Linked DNA regions of Daphnia pulex. The protein of the gene in region 1 interacts with the protein of each later gene in a biochemical or structural test. Links are inferred from orthologs where the notes say so. Each region holds a gene or a part of one and is shown in the gene's direction. Other genes may lie near its edges. The genes, in order: ubiquitin-protein ligase E3C-like and 26S proteasome non-ATPase regulatory subunit 2-like.

Region 1 (6,611 bases):
GTTATTGTGTGCACTACTGGTGATGGTGGCTCACTTAACTTCGTAGTTTTAGGCGAAACTTCAAAAGCCACTTGAGATCTTGAATTTTCTCCTGTTATTTCAACATTACGAACTTCAAAGCTACCTTCAACATCGTTTTTATTGTGAGTATCTAGCATTTTCGAAGTTTCTTCAATGGTAATAACTGAGGAAGACTGGGATAAGTTGTCACATTGGACAATTGGTGGTGGTTCAGTGGAAATTCTTCCTATAGGGATAGGAGGAGACGACACATGTTCCTTGACGAACGCTGAATTTTCTAATAAAGGTTTTTGCACCATAACATCAATTACTTCCGACAAACTGTGCGGCTGCTCAACAACAGTTTTACAGTCAACGAAAGAGTTTTCGTCGCTTAGTTGTAAATCCGCTCCATGAGTTACTTGTGTTATTTCCGATAATATCAGAATATTTTCTTTTTCAAGAGTTGTAGTGGTTGAGCTCAATACTGTTTCTTTGCTAGCGGCTATTATGGACTCTGTTGATTTGCATGACGTAGTGTTATCCACAGGCACAACAAAAACATCAGGTTCTTCCATTGACGAATCCTTTTCAACTGAGCTGAGATCATCCGATTGATGTGTTGGTTTTTCAGTTTTCGAGGGAACGGCAGAGGTAAATATATCAGCAAACATGTCGTCTTCTTCAGCTATTGCAGGATTGATCGGAATATCAAGGATGACTCTATTCCCAGGGTATGGTAGAGCTGATGGAACTTCTTCGAAATCCGAATCTTCGTCAGACGAACTAATACACATTACTGGTTCCTTTTTTTGTTCACTTCCAAATATTGCGAATAACTCTTGTTGACTAAATCCATCTTCATCCACTTCCAAAATTTGTTCGGTGGCTAGGTTCTCACTAACTGATGCGACTTTTATGGGCTGCTCTATTACGTTCGGGTCGGTGGCTTTTTTTGGTCCAATTTTTGTCGGTGACGTAGAGTGTTGTAAAGCTTTTTTAATCAATACGTAGTGAGTAGAATTGTCAGAAGCAATTTTGTGTGACTCAGCTACGTCTCCTTGATTTAATGCAAACTGTTCATGATTCTGTTGACCGATTTCTTTTACCACCTCATTCAGACGCTGTTGCAAATTTCTTCGCTTCAACAGCCTTTCCATTTGAAATCCAGAAAAATCATCAGCCTCCTGCATTTAATAAAATAATCCAACAGCGTTGAAACGATTAGATAAGAGAAGTCAAAAGAAGACCACGGGAATTATGATCCCCCCTCTCCCCAAAAAAAAAGAATAAGCAGCAGGAAACATGCTACCAAAATTACCTGGGGCATTTGGTGAATCCTGTTCCAGGAAGATTGCTTACGAGTGTCTCGCAGTTCCAATAGAATTTCATGTTGTATTTCAGTTGGCAAAGCAAGGAAAGCTTCACTTGTAACATCTACTGAATGTATGTTGTGACCTTTCATATGTAAAGAAATTGCGCCCAGATTTCCATTTGCATCGTCGTCAAAATCTGATTCTGAAGAATTGTCCCTAAACATCAACATTGTTATTAAAATGTTAAGAATTTCTGTGTCAAAGAATTAACAAAAATTTACTCAGTGTTTTGATTTGGAATTGGTGGAAGCTCAAATAAATCAGGTTCCAATTTTTTCTTTTTTAACAAAGGAGCTCCAGATTTCCCTTTATTTTTGCCAAGTTGTTTATTGATAACTTCTGACTTAATATAGTTTGAAAGGATTTTCTCTGCAACCATATCATTGTTCTTAACAGCTGTATCTCTCCTGTTATGACGTGCAGCCTAAATTGTATTTTATGATTTCAAAAATTGTTGAGTAACATGTAAAAATAAGTGTACCATGGTTTGCCGTTTCAGTACTGGAACCCCTCCATCAAAAACAAATACTGGTTTGATTTTGAAAAACAATAGCTTGCAAAGACGGTGGCATAAGCCTGATGAGAAGATGAATTAATCTAAATTAATCAAATAATGGCCTTGTGAATTGAATTACCCAATAAGTGGGCATTTGGTAATGGATTTCCTTGGGCATCCCGGAAACCTTTAGTTGCTTGATGAAGCCAAATAGACACATCTAAACAAATAAAAATAAAAAATGATATTTTATGATTTGTTTAGAGTGAAAACAGCATATCTCAACATGGTATTGAAGAACTTACCAACAGCGAGAACTTTATTCTCAAGGGTTTCTAGCGGAACAGGTTTGCCAACCGGTTCTAGTAGATTCCACAATCCATGAACTCCCATCTTTGAAATCACAAATTATCTCGTAAAAGTTTTCCTTCATTCAAAAGAAATTACTGCTCTTACAGATGAGACAAAGTTGTCTCACGGCATGCTTGTTTTCAAACAGAAATCGCTTGGAATATCTTCTGCTAGAATGGACAGAATTGTTTAGGTTGTGTTCACTAATGCTTCACCAGAGTTGGCTGCACTAATTCAATATAATAAAGATATTAAATGGTCTGAAAATAAAAGAGAATATTTTACGGTTTGTGTTTTAAACTTTTAATTGCTTTTTGAAAATATTCCCTGTATCTCGCGATCCGCGAATAGATTTTCTGCCATTTCACCTGTTTATAGCTTGTTATTTTAATTATGCAACATCGTAAGTTTAGTCATTCTTGTGAAAAACGTCTGCTGTTCAGTTTCCCAAAGTCACCAATTTATCACAATAAAAGGATAAAGGATCCAATTACGGCAACTCGCAAATAGTCCACAAGACCTGGATCGATTCGTTGTTTTTGAAATGTTTAGTTTTGAGGGAGAGTACAGGCGAAAACCTGTCCAAAGTTTGGGAGGCGCATCAAAACATAGTCAAAGAGACATTTTTCTCCAGAGAACACAACTAGAAAGGCAAAAAAGAGAAGTAAAACAAAAATATTGCATTTCAACTCAAGATCATTCATTACTAACCTACTTTATTGCTAATGCAGGATTTACGTCGACAAAACCAAAGTGCTGTTATCATTCAAGCTTTTTTTCGAGGTTGCCAAGCTAGATCCCTTCAAAAGAACATTCAACGACAAGAGTTTGAAAGAATACAGGCCACCAATTTCCAAAATATTAACTTACAACTCTTGACATCTTTGATCAACAAACTTAAGTTCTTCTTTGATAAAGAGAAAGATGCTAACAAACTTGTGTGGCTATCACAGCTGGTGATAAAAAATTCACCTAGCATAATGAAGCAATGCCAAACTGAGAAACCATTCACATTTAGCCTTGCTCAATTCCTCAGCTTAACTCTGTGCTACATATCTGATACTATTCATTTACCAACTGGAGAGAGCAAAGGGTCCCACTGGAGGGTCTTGGAAATCTTCCTCAATGCAGAGGGCTGGAGAAAAAGTGTAGGAGTTCAAACAGCTGATATGATTTTGGGTTCAATATTTTTTTTCCTGTCTCGAAAAGGTAACATTCTCTCCTTGTTATCACAAACTTTTTTTTGCAAATAAAAATTATCTTTATTTTAGGTTATTTTACCCAGTTACGCCAGATTGTTGATGTTAAAATACCACCTTTAGTTGAGCCCACCACAAAGGCACCAACCCCTCTTTCTGGTTGCCTGTTGGACTTTATTTTTCAACCCCTAGAATTTGCATCGGCGACAATGAATATAAATAATCGGTTTGAAAAAGAATTTTTCTATTTATTATCCCACTTTTAAATTTATTTAAATTTATTTTCGTTTAGTAACACTGTAGTTGCATCCTTTAGCCGAGAATTTCTGGAACCAGCGTATTCAGAACCAATCACAAATTTCATTCTTCCGTCTTTGAGGCAGAATAATAACAAAATTCCTTTGTTATGTTTGCTTCAAAACAATGAAGCTTGTGCAAGAAATCCGTGGCTTCTTCATAGCATTCTGGTGCTGGCAGATGGACACCCTGGTAACTTAAGAATTCAGTTAACATTCTTGATTCTATAAGTACCAACGATTTCTTCTTAAAATAGAACTTAAGGACGATAGAGTGCTGTCATTCTACGTTGCCACAGTAAGTCGTTTAAGCGGATGTCTCCAATTCATGCAAACTGCTGAAGTTCACGAAGACGACGACGACTCAGACGAAGAAGATGTACAAACTAACATATTTAAAGCTGCCGAACAAGAAGTAATAACCTTGAAATATCTGGTTCATTTCGCAAATCAGTAATGTCATTTTCCTTGATTGCTACAGATAATGACTCGTTGCTGTGAGTTACTTAATAATATCAATACGGTACATGTATTGGTAACAGCCCTGCAAATCCCTGACGTTCTACCAGATTTGTGTGTCGTTGGTCACAATCTGTTGCTGTCTGATCGATTGGCGCTCCACAAGTGCAGGTATAGCAATACATAAATTTACTCGTCTTGACTCTGTAATTTTTAACCGGCGCCATAATTTCTAGGCTACTTTATACGTTGGCTTTCAAACCTTGTTATCTGCAACAGTTGTTAGGCCATATCAAATCAGAAAAGCAAGTGTCGCTGTTTGGTTCATCGGATACGTCCTTGGTTCAACTTTTGGCGAAAGGTGTTCATCTGGCGCATTCGGAAATTGACCGAATCGTACCCGTGTTAGATGTTTTCTGTTCACTTTTCAGTCATCTTTTAGTAACGTTGGACGACTCCGAATTTTACAACGAATCGGGTTCGTCTTCTACATAGTTTTTTTCGAAAATAATTTTTAACTTAGCAATTTATTGCTCATTTATTAGATCCAGTTTCTGGAGCTATGCCGTTCAGCCTAACTGAAGTGGTCGAACTGGCTTCTATATTGCGTGACGTTTGCCTTGGATTGGTGGAACTTGCTTATCCTGATACTCGCCCAAGCACCTCCTTCAACTTTGTCAAGACCCGTACTACTTCCACCGGTAACACACAAGAAGATACCCGACTGTGGATGCATCTGTTCAAAGTAAGGCTAATTTATTCAATACATGGACACAAAATGAGTGATATACCCTTCATTGTAGTCTACAGTGAATCTCGTCAGCCAGTTGCACACAAGAGATACGCGCCGACCGTTCTGTCCTAGTTGGGTTTGGATAACTGGAAGAATTGCCCTGCCTTTGGAGAGGAATGGCCAGCTGTCTTTCCGTAGGCAAGGCAGACTTCACCGTCCGTTTAGGGCTATCCGACCATTAACCAGGAATGAAATTGGTAATTTTTCCTTCGTGTTGACACTCTAAAAGAGTATAATTTACTTAATAATATTTCTTAGTAGAAGAGGAAGGTAGTTCTATGTTGTCAACAAGAGAGGTGCGAACCTTAGCCATTCTGCGTGAAATTCCGTTTGTGTTCTCGTTCACCGATCGGGTCAAAATGTGGCAGCAATGGATCCTCAATGATAAAATGCAGCAACAGGGAGAGGCCAATTTCCTTCGAGGTCCATCCATTCAGGTCATGATTCGCCGGAATTATATTTATGAGGACGCTTTCGATAAACTTTCCCTTGAAAATGGTGAGTTTCATTCACAATTCTGAAGGATAACAGAAGATTAACTGAAATTTATCTTGACAGAACCAAATCTGCGATTTAAGATGAGAGTCCAGTTAACGAATGCTGTAGGATTGGACGAAGCCGGAGTCGATGGTGGTGGTATATTTCGTGAATTCCTGTCAGAGTTGCTGAAAACGAGCTTCGATCCGAATCGCGGGTTTTTCCGCTTAACACACGATAACTTGCTCTACCCTAATCCCGGTGTGGCTGTCCTCGTTTCGGATTTCCCAGCCCATTACTACTTTATCGGTCGTATGCTGGGAAAGGTGGGATTGAACACAGCTTCTTAATGCTTTATGGTGGTTCTAATGTCGTGATTATCATTAGGCTTTGTACGAGAATTTGCTGGTGGAATTGCCGATGGCGGATTTCTTCCTCTCCAAGATCCTCGGTCAGGCCAGTGCTAGTTTAGACGTCCATCATTTGGCTTCCTTAGACCCAGTACTTCACAAGAATCTTCTTTATCTCCGCCATTATGATGGTGATGTCACCGAACTAGGACTCGATTTCACCATAGTGAGCAGCGAATTGGGCGAAACGAGGGTAAATTAGTCGAGGAATATCTTTCCACGGGTTTCTTTTCAACCAACGACTTTCTCTATTTAGGTGGAAGAACTGAAACCGAACGGATCCAACATTCCCGTCACGTCTTCAAATCGTATCGAATACATCCATTTGGTGGCGGACTACAAACTCAACAAGCAAATCCGTTTGCAATGCAATGCATTCCGCCAGGTATGATGTGTGATTTTTCACTGGTTAATTTGCCAGTCATTCACTGTTCAATTGCGTCGCAGGGATTGGCGAATGTCATCGATATCGAGTGGTTGCAAACATTTAGCTACCGAGAGTTGCAGGTGTTGGTGTCAGGTGCATACACACCGGTTGATTTAGAGGACCTTAAACAACACACGCACTACACCGGTGGCTACACTTCAACGCATCCAGTCATCCAAGGATTTTGGCGAGTCGTATCCAAGTTTGACGATTCCGGAAAGCGACACCTGCTCAAATTTGTAACCAGTTGCTCTAGACCTCCATTGCTTGGCTTTAAAGAATTGGATCCGCCTTTCTGTATTCAAAACGCCGGTACGGACGATCGAC
Region 2 (6,611 bases), on another chromosome or scaffold:
CCAAAACATTCAACCTGCCCCTAGCGGCACATTCTATAGCTCTGGCATAGACAAAGACCACTGGTTGAAGCTCTTCATAAGAAAATTAACATGGCCAACTGTCGCCAGAATTCTTGCTACCCTTCCTCCGATTTCTCCAACCCCGTATTACTTGTCCTGCCCTCTAGTGTACGTTTTCATCTCTACACTCTGCTTACTTCTATTCAATTGCAATGATTAATTGATTTCTCTGCTTTTGTAATTAGCTAATGTCAAAATTTAATACAATTTGACTTCTTAATAAAAATTTTTAAGGCAAAATTACCTAAAACTATTAAACGCCAGCAAAGAATTTTACCAAGACAGAAGGAAAACAATCTTCGTCTGCAAAACCCTTCGTAGCCTCGGTGCAGTACAGTACTTTGTCCGCTAGAGGCACTACAATCGATACGGGAGCTCGGGGTCAGTAGGGATAGGGCTAAAAGGATAGCACAGCATCAACCAGTGGTCTTTGTCTATGGCTCTGGCCTCTGGGCCTCTGGTGGCACTCTCATAGTCTCAAGCCATACTCAAGCATATCTTTATGCAGTTTACTTCGCAGTCTATGGTGCTGTGCTACGACGAAAGTTGTTGATCTTGAATCTTGATTGCTGAAAATCTGGAAAAATATAAACGCTATTAAGATGGATTTTTTGAAAGCTGAAATGGAACGCAAGCGCAAAATGCTGCAAGATAAAGACATTATGGTAAGTTGGGCTTCATCAAGATCGTTGTATATTTAAAAATATAATTCCTTACTCAAAACAACAGATTCATTTTCATTGTGCATTGTCATAGTTTCAAATAATCATTTACAGATGGAAATGCATAGAACAATCGAATTGTGTATTTCTAAATAATGTTAGGTGGAAAATTATTTGAAATTTTACATAATACTCATCAACTTTCTTGTTTAGCCTTCAAGCAAAAAATACTTCAGACGTGGAGATCTGGTTGCGAAAGAGAAGGAAGAATATATAAAAAAACATGCAAATTCATTTGCAGTTAAGCTGTCTGATGGACAAGGCCCTAGCAGAATAGCTGATAATGAAGGAGGAGGTATTCCAAAAAGTTTTACATAACATTTTCAGAGATAACAATGTTTTTTTTATTTGTTATTATTTTTCTAGTTCTAGAGGAAGATGGAGTAACTGTGGCGGTTCTTCCTAGAAAAGAAGTAATTCGTAGATTGCGTGACAGAAATGAACCCATTATTCTGTATGGTGAATCAGACATTGAGGCTTTCAGAAGACTTAGAAAATTGGAAATTTCAGAACCTGAAATCAACAGGGTAACAATCCTTACAGAAAAATGTTGTATATCAGCAAAAAACATCAATATTTTTTGTGATTTATGATCTTTAGGGTCTTCGTAATGATTTCCAAGAAGCTATGGAAAGAGTAGATGAGGCTTATCTGAATGACATTCTTGCCACCAAAAAAGATGAAGATGACCAGTCAGATGATGGTTCAAGCAAGCCCAAGGCTGGTGACGTAAAAGTCATCGCAGATGCAATTAGTTACGAAGAAATTTTAGAATTGGTTAGAGCAATTTAAATTACTTTGAAATTTTTGTATATTCCTAACAAAATTTATTCTCTTAGTCGAAAGATTTGGGAAAAGGAAACGGTGATTTGGATTTGAAAATCATTAGCCAACTACTTAGATTGCTGCTTCAAATCTGGGGTCAAAAACTTAATAGTCGTCCCGAAGCCGAAAAAAGAAGCGTAAAAGGTATTGTGTCTTCCTGTTGATAATCTCTTTGTTGGGTTGTTTCTAACCATTGTATGTTAAAGGTAAACGAGCTTCAGCAACTTACGGTCAGACGCAGCAGTACTTAAAGCCACTGTTCAAGAAACTCCGCAATAAAAGTATCCAGGACGATATTCTCGACAGTTTAACCATTATTGTTGGCCATTTACTTGACAGAAATTACGTCATTGCAAATGATGCGTACTTGGTAAGGTGTCGGTGAAAATTATCTATCGTTCTTCTTATGTTGATTCGCCGTCTTATTTCTATTTTGTTTTTAGCAAATGGCTATTGGTAATGCTCCATGGCCTATCGGTGTCACCATGGTTGGTATTCACGCACGTACAGGTCGAGAGAAAATTTTTTCCAAACACGTTGCACATGTTCTGAACGATGAAACTCAACGTAAATATATCCAAGGGCTGAAAAGACTGATGACAAAGTGCCAGTACTTTTTTCCTACCGATCCGTCTCGCTGTGTGGAATATGGAGCGACAGAGCTTGAATTTTAAGCTGTTTCGAGACGACGAATATGTACTGCTACGTTTGCCTCGGGCACATTACATTTGTTTACGTGTCTTCACGGTTGTAAATATAAAAACGAAGTTCCTCGCTGATGAAACATTTTATTAATTTTTTTTTTCAGTTTTAATTCAGCACTTAAATTTGTTTGTATTCAGCACTTAATTTTATTTCTATTAGACTATTAGTGTTGGACACATGAAAATATGGATTTTATTAGGCCTAACTAATATATGCGGAAATAACTAGATAAGGTGAATGTTGCCTGTGCTGGATGATATTCGCGCTACAGTGTCGTTTTTTTTCTAATCAATCAGTGAGTCTTTTTTGTGTCTATATAATATTGAATGAGGTGATAACATACATGAATGGTTTTATATAAGTAAGTACATAATTTCGTTTAGAATTTGGATTTATGATTTTTTCGTCAGAAACAGCTAAACTAAATAATAGTTTAGAAACATTAAATAAAACACTTACAACTTGCGGGCTTATTTAACCTAACTTTGGCTTGTCAAGCAGTAGAGAAATCGAAAGGCTGTATAATACCATTGGCCTCCTTCTCTAAAAAATCGCATATTTTTCATATAATGCTTTCCACAGTCAAAATCTTAAAGAACTTTAAAGAGAACTGATTTTTATTTTTTTTAAATAATTTATACGGCCTGTCGCCTGCCTGTCCTATTCCTGGCGACATTTTTGGGCAGCAAAAAAATTTAGTTATAACGTAATAAAAATGGAAAGTAAGTAACAAAGATTTCTCTCGCAAGTTTATTTTACAAGAATAAACTTTGTGAATTTCATTAAATTATTACTTATTCCTAGTTATAAAACAACTTTAATTTTTTATTGCAAACATATTCTCATTTGGCAACGAAGCATAGCCCGGCTTATATGTCTATTTCGTCTGTTTTCAGCTTGCGGAAACAGCTTCGTCATATTACACACAATCGTAAAATTTTCAATCACGACAAGTCAGTTTAAAAGGGAAAATGACTGCTGACAAAGAAATTAAGAAAACTGCACCAAACGGCGAAGAAGAAAAAAAGAAGGATGAAAAGGAAAAAAAGGGAAAAGCTAAAGACACGCCGAAAGAAGAAGAACTGGTATAACACTTTAAAATGACAGTATTTCAAATAAGACGTCTTATCATAGTTTGCAATTTTTTGTCAAATTCCTCTCATGTAGTCTGAAGAAGATAAGCAGCTCCAAGATGAGCTGAATATGGTTATTGAAAGGTTGACGGAGAATGATGCTACCTTATGGATGCCCTCTCTAGAAATCATGCGTACACTTATTTGTGCTGCTACTACTTCAATGACAAGTGTTCCCAAACCCCTAAAGTTCTTGCGTCCTCATTATGCTGTCTTGAAAACAATTGTCGAAAAAATTACTGATCCCAACACCAAAGCCCTTTGTGCTGACATCATATCAGTTTTGGCAATGACAAACACTGAAGGAACTGAATGCCTTCAATATCGTTTGATAGGATCCAAAGAAGGACTAGTAGAATGGGGCCATGAATATGTTAGGTAATGAATTCTTGATTTGGAATGTTATGGTCAACTTTTTAATATTTTCATGCTCATTTCAGGCATTTAGCAGGGGAAATTGCCCAGGAATGGGATGAAATCCCTTTTGAAGGAGATGAAGGCAAAGCAAAGAGAGCTCAGTTGTCTGCTCTTGTTGAACAAATTATTCCTTTTCAAATGACTCACAATGCTGAAGCCGAAGCATGCGACTTGCTAATGGAAATTGAGCAGTTGGACATGCTGGAGCAACACGTCGATGAAGCTGCCCACAACCGGGTTTGCCTTTACCTCAGCAGCTGCGTTCCATATGTTCCCGATCCCGAGAATGTTAACCTTTTGAAAACAGCGCTTTCCATTTTCCGTAAATTCCAACAGTGGCCACAAGCACTTAGGCTGGCTCTGCAGATCAATGACCATGCACTGATCGAAGAAGTCTTTTTGGCTTGTAACGACGGGTGAGTTAACTTACTTTGTGTAACAAAGCACATTCGTGGACGGTTTAAATATTAATATTTCTTTTCAGAACTATGCGAAAACAGTTGGCATTTATGTTGGGGCGGCAACAGATATTTCTTGAGCTCAATGAGGAGTTGGAGGATTACGACGACTTGATTGAAATCATGTCCAATACCCACTTAAACAACCATTTCTTATCGCTGGCACGAGAGGTAATATTTGAGATGGATTCGTTCGTCAACAAATTTTGCTAATCTGAATGCTGCATGATATTGCAATAGCTGGACATCATGGAACCCAAGACCCCCGAGGACATCTACAAATCTCATCTGGACAACAATTCTCGTTCTGCGTTTGGTGGTGGTCAAGTAGATTCGGCCCGCCAGAACTTGGCATCGTCTTTCGTTAATGGATTGGTCAATGCCGCCTTTGGCCAGGACAAACTTCTAATGGAAGACGGGAACAAGTGGCTCTACAAAAACAAGGAACACGGTATTTGAATTGACTATTCTGTTTTGTTTTGCAACCGTTTGTACTCACCAAATTGTTCTCTTAGGAATGTTGAGTGCAACAGCTTCGTTGGGCTTGCTGCTCTTATGGGATGTTGATGGTGGTCTAACGCAAATCGACAAATACCTCTACTCATCGGAAGAATACATTAAAGCGGGCGCCTTGCTAGCCTGCGGTATTGTCAACACTGGCGTTCGTAACGAGTGCGATCCTGCCTTGGCTCTTCTTTCTGACTATGTTTTACATAGCAGCAACGTGATGAGGATTGGTGCTATTCTTGGTCAGTTTTGTCCTCTTTGGTTTTCACAGTGACAGTTGGAGGGATGAGTTAGTGATGTCTGAATATTTTGTAATTATTTCAGGTCTTGGACTGGCATATGCTGGTTCCAATCGCGACGACGTGCTCAGCTTGCTGCTCCCTGTCCTCTCACATCCCAAGTCGTCGATGGAAGTTGTGGGTGTCGCCGCCCTTGCATGTGGCCTAGTAGCCGTGGCATCGTGTAACGGAGACGTCACTTCAGCCTTGCTTCAAACACTCATGGAGAAGAGCGAAGTGGAATTGAAAGATACCTTCTCTCGTTTCCTACCTCTTGGATTGGGTCTCACTTATTTGGGAAAGCAAGAAGCCGTCGAGGCCGTTGTTTTGGCTCTGGAAGTTCTAGCCGAACCCTTCAAAGTAATGTAGTTTGAATACTTTTATTTGTTTTTTCTTGGAAAGTTGCTCACCATTTCCTTCTGTAGTCCATGGCCAGCACGATGGTTGAAGTGTGCGCGTTTGCGGGGACGGGCAACGTTCTACGCGTCCAGCGTTTGCTCCACATTTGCAGCGAGCACCACGAACCCCAGGAAAAGGAAGACAGGAAAGAGAGCAAAGAAACGGCGGTCAAAAAAGATGAAAGTGCCGCGGCGGCTGCCGGAGCAGCAGCAGCAGGTTCTGCAACAGGCACTTCGACTGCTGCCGCCTCTTCCGGCGCCCAAGCGGATTTGTCATCTCAGCAAGCCGTGGCTGTCATTGGTCTTGCGCTCATTGGCATGGGAGAGGACATTGGGGCCGAAATGGCCTTCCGCACGTTGGGTCATTTGCTGCGTTACGGAGAGCCTTGCATCCGCCGAGCCGTGCCACTCGCTCTGGGATTGATTTCAGTCTCTAATCCTCGTTTGAATGTCCTCGATACACTTTCCAAGTTCTCCCACGATTCCGACTCTGAAGTGGCCCTCAACAGCATCCTGGCCCTCGGTTTAGTGGGTGCCGGAACCAACAATGCCAGGTACGTCAACAACAATCCCTCCTAGTATCCCGTCATTGTTGTTATTGACAATGTAACATGAACATCCTTGGTATGAGACGACGTTTCGTTGGCTGGTGGCGGGTGGCGGGGGGGTTAGTAGTACATCTTTAGAGAGTTTAGTGGTTTCCTGAAAACGTCTGGTGGTCCGTCATGTTGAGTGTGATGGGCTGACTGATTCGATGAATGAGCTGGCAGTTAATTGATGTTTAACGAAGGAAATCAAAACTGAAGGCTAATGTCATGTGTCATGATCCACTCGCTCGTCTGTTTCTCCGTAGCTAATTTAGTGGCTCATCCGGTTTCATCACTTGACTTTCCTCTTTTTCTAGATTGGCCGCCATGTTACGCCAACTGGCCCAGTACCACGCCAAGGATTCCAACGCCCTGTTTATGGTCCGCCTGGCTCAGGGATTGACACATCTGGGCAAAGGCACGTTGACCTTGCAGCCCTATCACAGCGAAAGGCAACTCATGAATCCGGTGGCCGTCGCCGGATTGCTTTCCACTGTTATCGCTTGCCTCGACGTCAAAAA

What was found.
Region 2: the proteins of ubiquitin-protein ligase E3C-like (region 1) and 26S proteasome non-ATPase regulatory subunit 2-like form a complex in vitro, tested with the Homo sapiens proteins (2 studies listed by BioGRID). The link is inferred for Daphnia pulex from reciprocal best matches to the Homo sapiens genes UBE3C and PSMD2.

Annotation. Positions count from the first base shown.
Region 1 is NC_060018.1:1,403,114-1,409,724, forward strand, and holds the start of ubiquitin-protein ligase E3C-like, read left to right. Parts: upstream 1-2,629; 5' UTR 2,630-2,767; coding exon 2,768-2,887; intron 2,888-2,954; coding exon 2,955-3,432; intron 3,433-3,494; coding exon 3,495-3,648; intron 3,649-3,714; coding exon 3,715-3,911; intron 3,912-3,975; coding exon 3,976-4,133; intron 4,134-4,199; coding exon 4,200-4,348; intron 4,349-4,413; coding exon 4,414-4,655; intron 4,656-4,722; coding exon 4,723-4,922; intron 4,923-4,980; coding exon 4,981-5,167; intron 5,168-5,231; coding exon 5,232-5,468; intron 5,469-5,528; coding exon 5,529-5,773; intron 5,774-5,834; coding exon 5,835-6,050; intron 6,051-6,113; coding exon 6,114-6,242; intron 6,243-6,304; coding exon 6,305-6,611. Other genes in the region: DNA excision repair protein ERCC-5-like, read right to left, coding at 1-1,187, 1,322-1,532, 1,598-1,800, 1,858-1,952, 2,012-2,092, 2,178-2,265. UniProt on the Homo sapiens protein: E3 ubiquitin-protein ligase that specifically catalyzes 'Lys-29'- and 'Lys-48'-linked polyubiquitin chains.
Region 2 is NC_060024.1:473,880-480,490, forward strand, and holds the start of 26S proteasome non-ATPase regulatory subunit 2-like, read left to right. Parts: upstream 1-3,159; 5' UTR 3,160-3,283; coding exon 3,284-3,397; intron 3,398-3,479; coding exon 3,480-3,823; intron 3,824-3,885; coding exon 3,886-4,278; intron 4,279-4,346; coding exon 4,347-4,491; intron 4,492-4,560; coding exon 4,561-4,771; intron 4,772-4,835; coding exon 4,836-5,069; intron 5,070-5,151; coding exon 5,152-5,465; intron 5,466-5,530; coding exon 5,531-6,057; intron 6,058-6,407; coding exon 6,408-6,611. Other genes in the region: pre-mRNA-splicing factor 18-like, read left to right, coding at 663-725, 936-1,077, 1,149-1,309, 1,383-1,559, 1,622-1,751, 1,814-1,977, 2,051-2,281. UniProt on the Homo sapiens protein: Component of the 26S proteasome, a multiprotein complex involved in the ATP-dependent degradation of ubiquitinated proteins.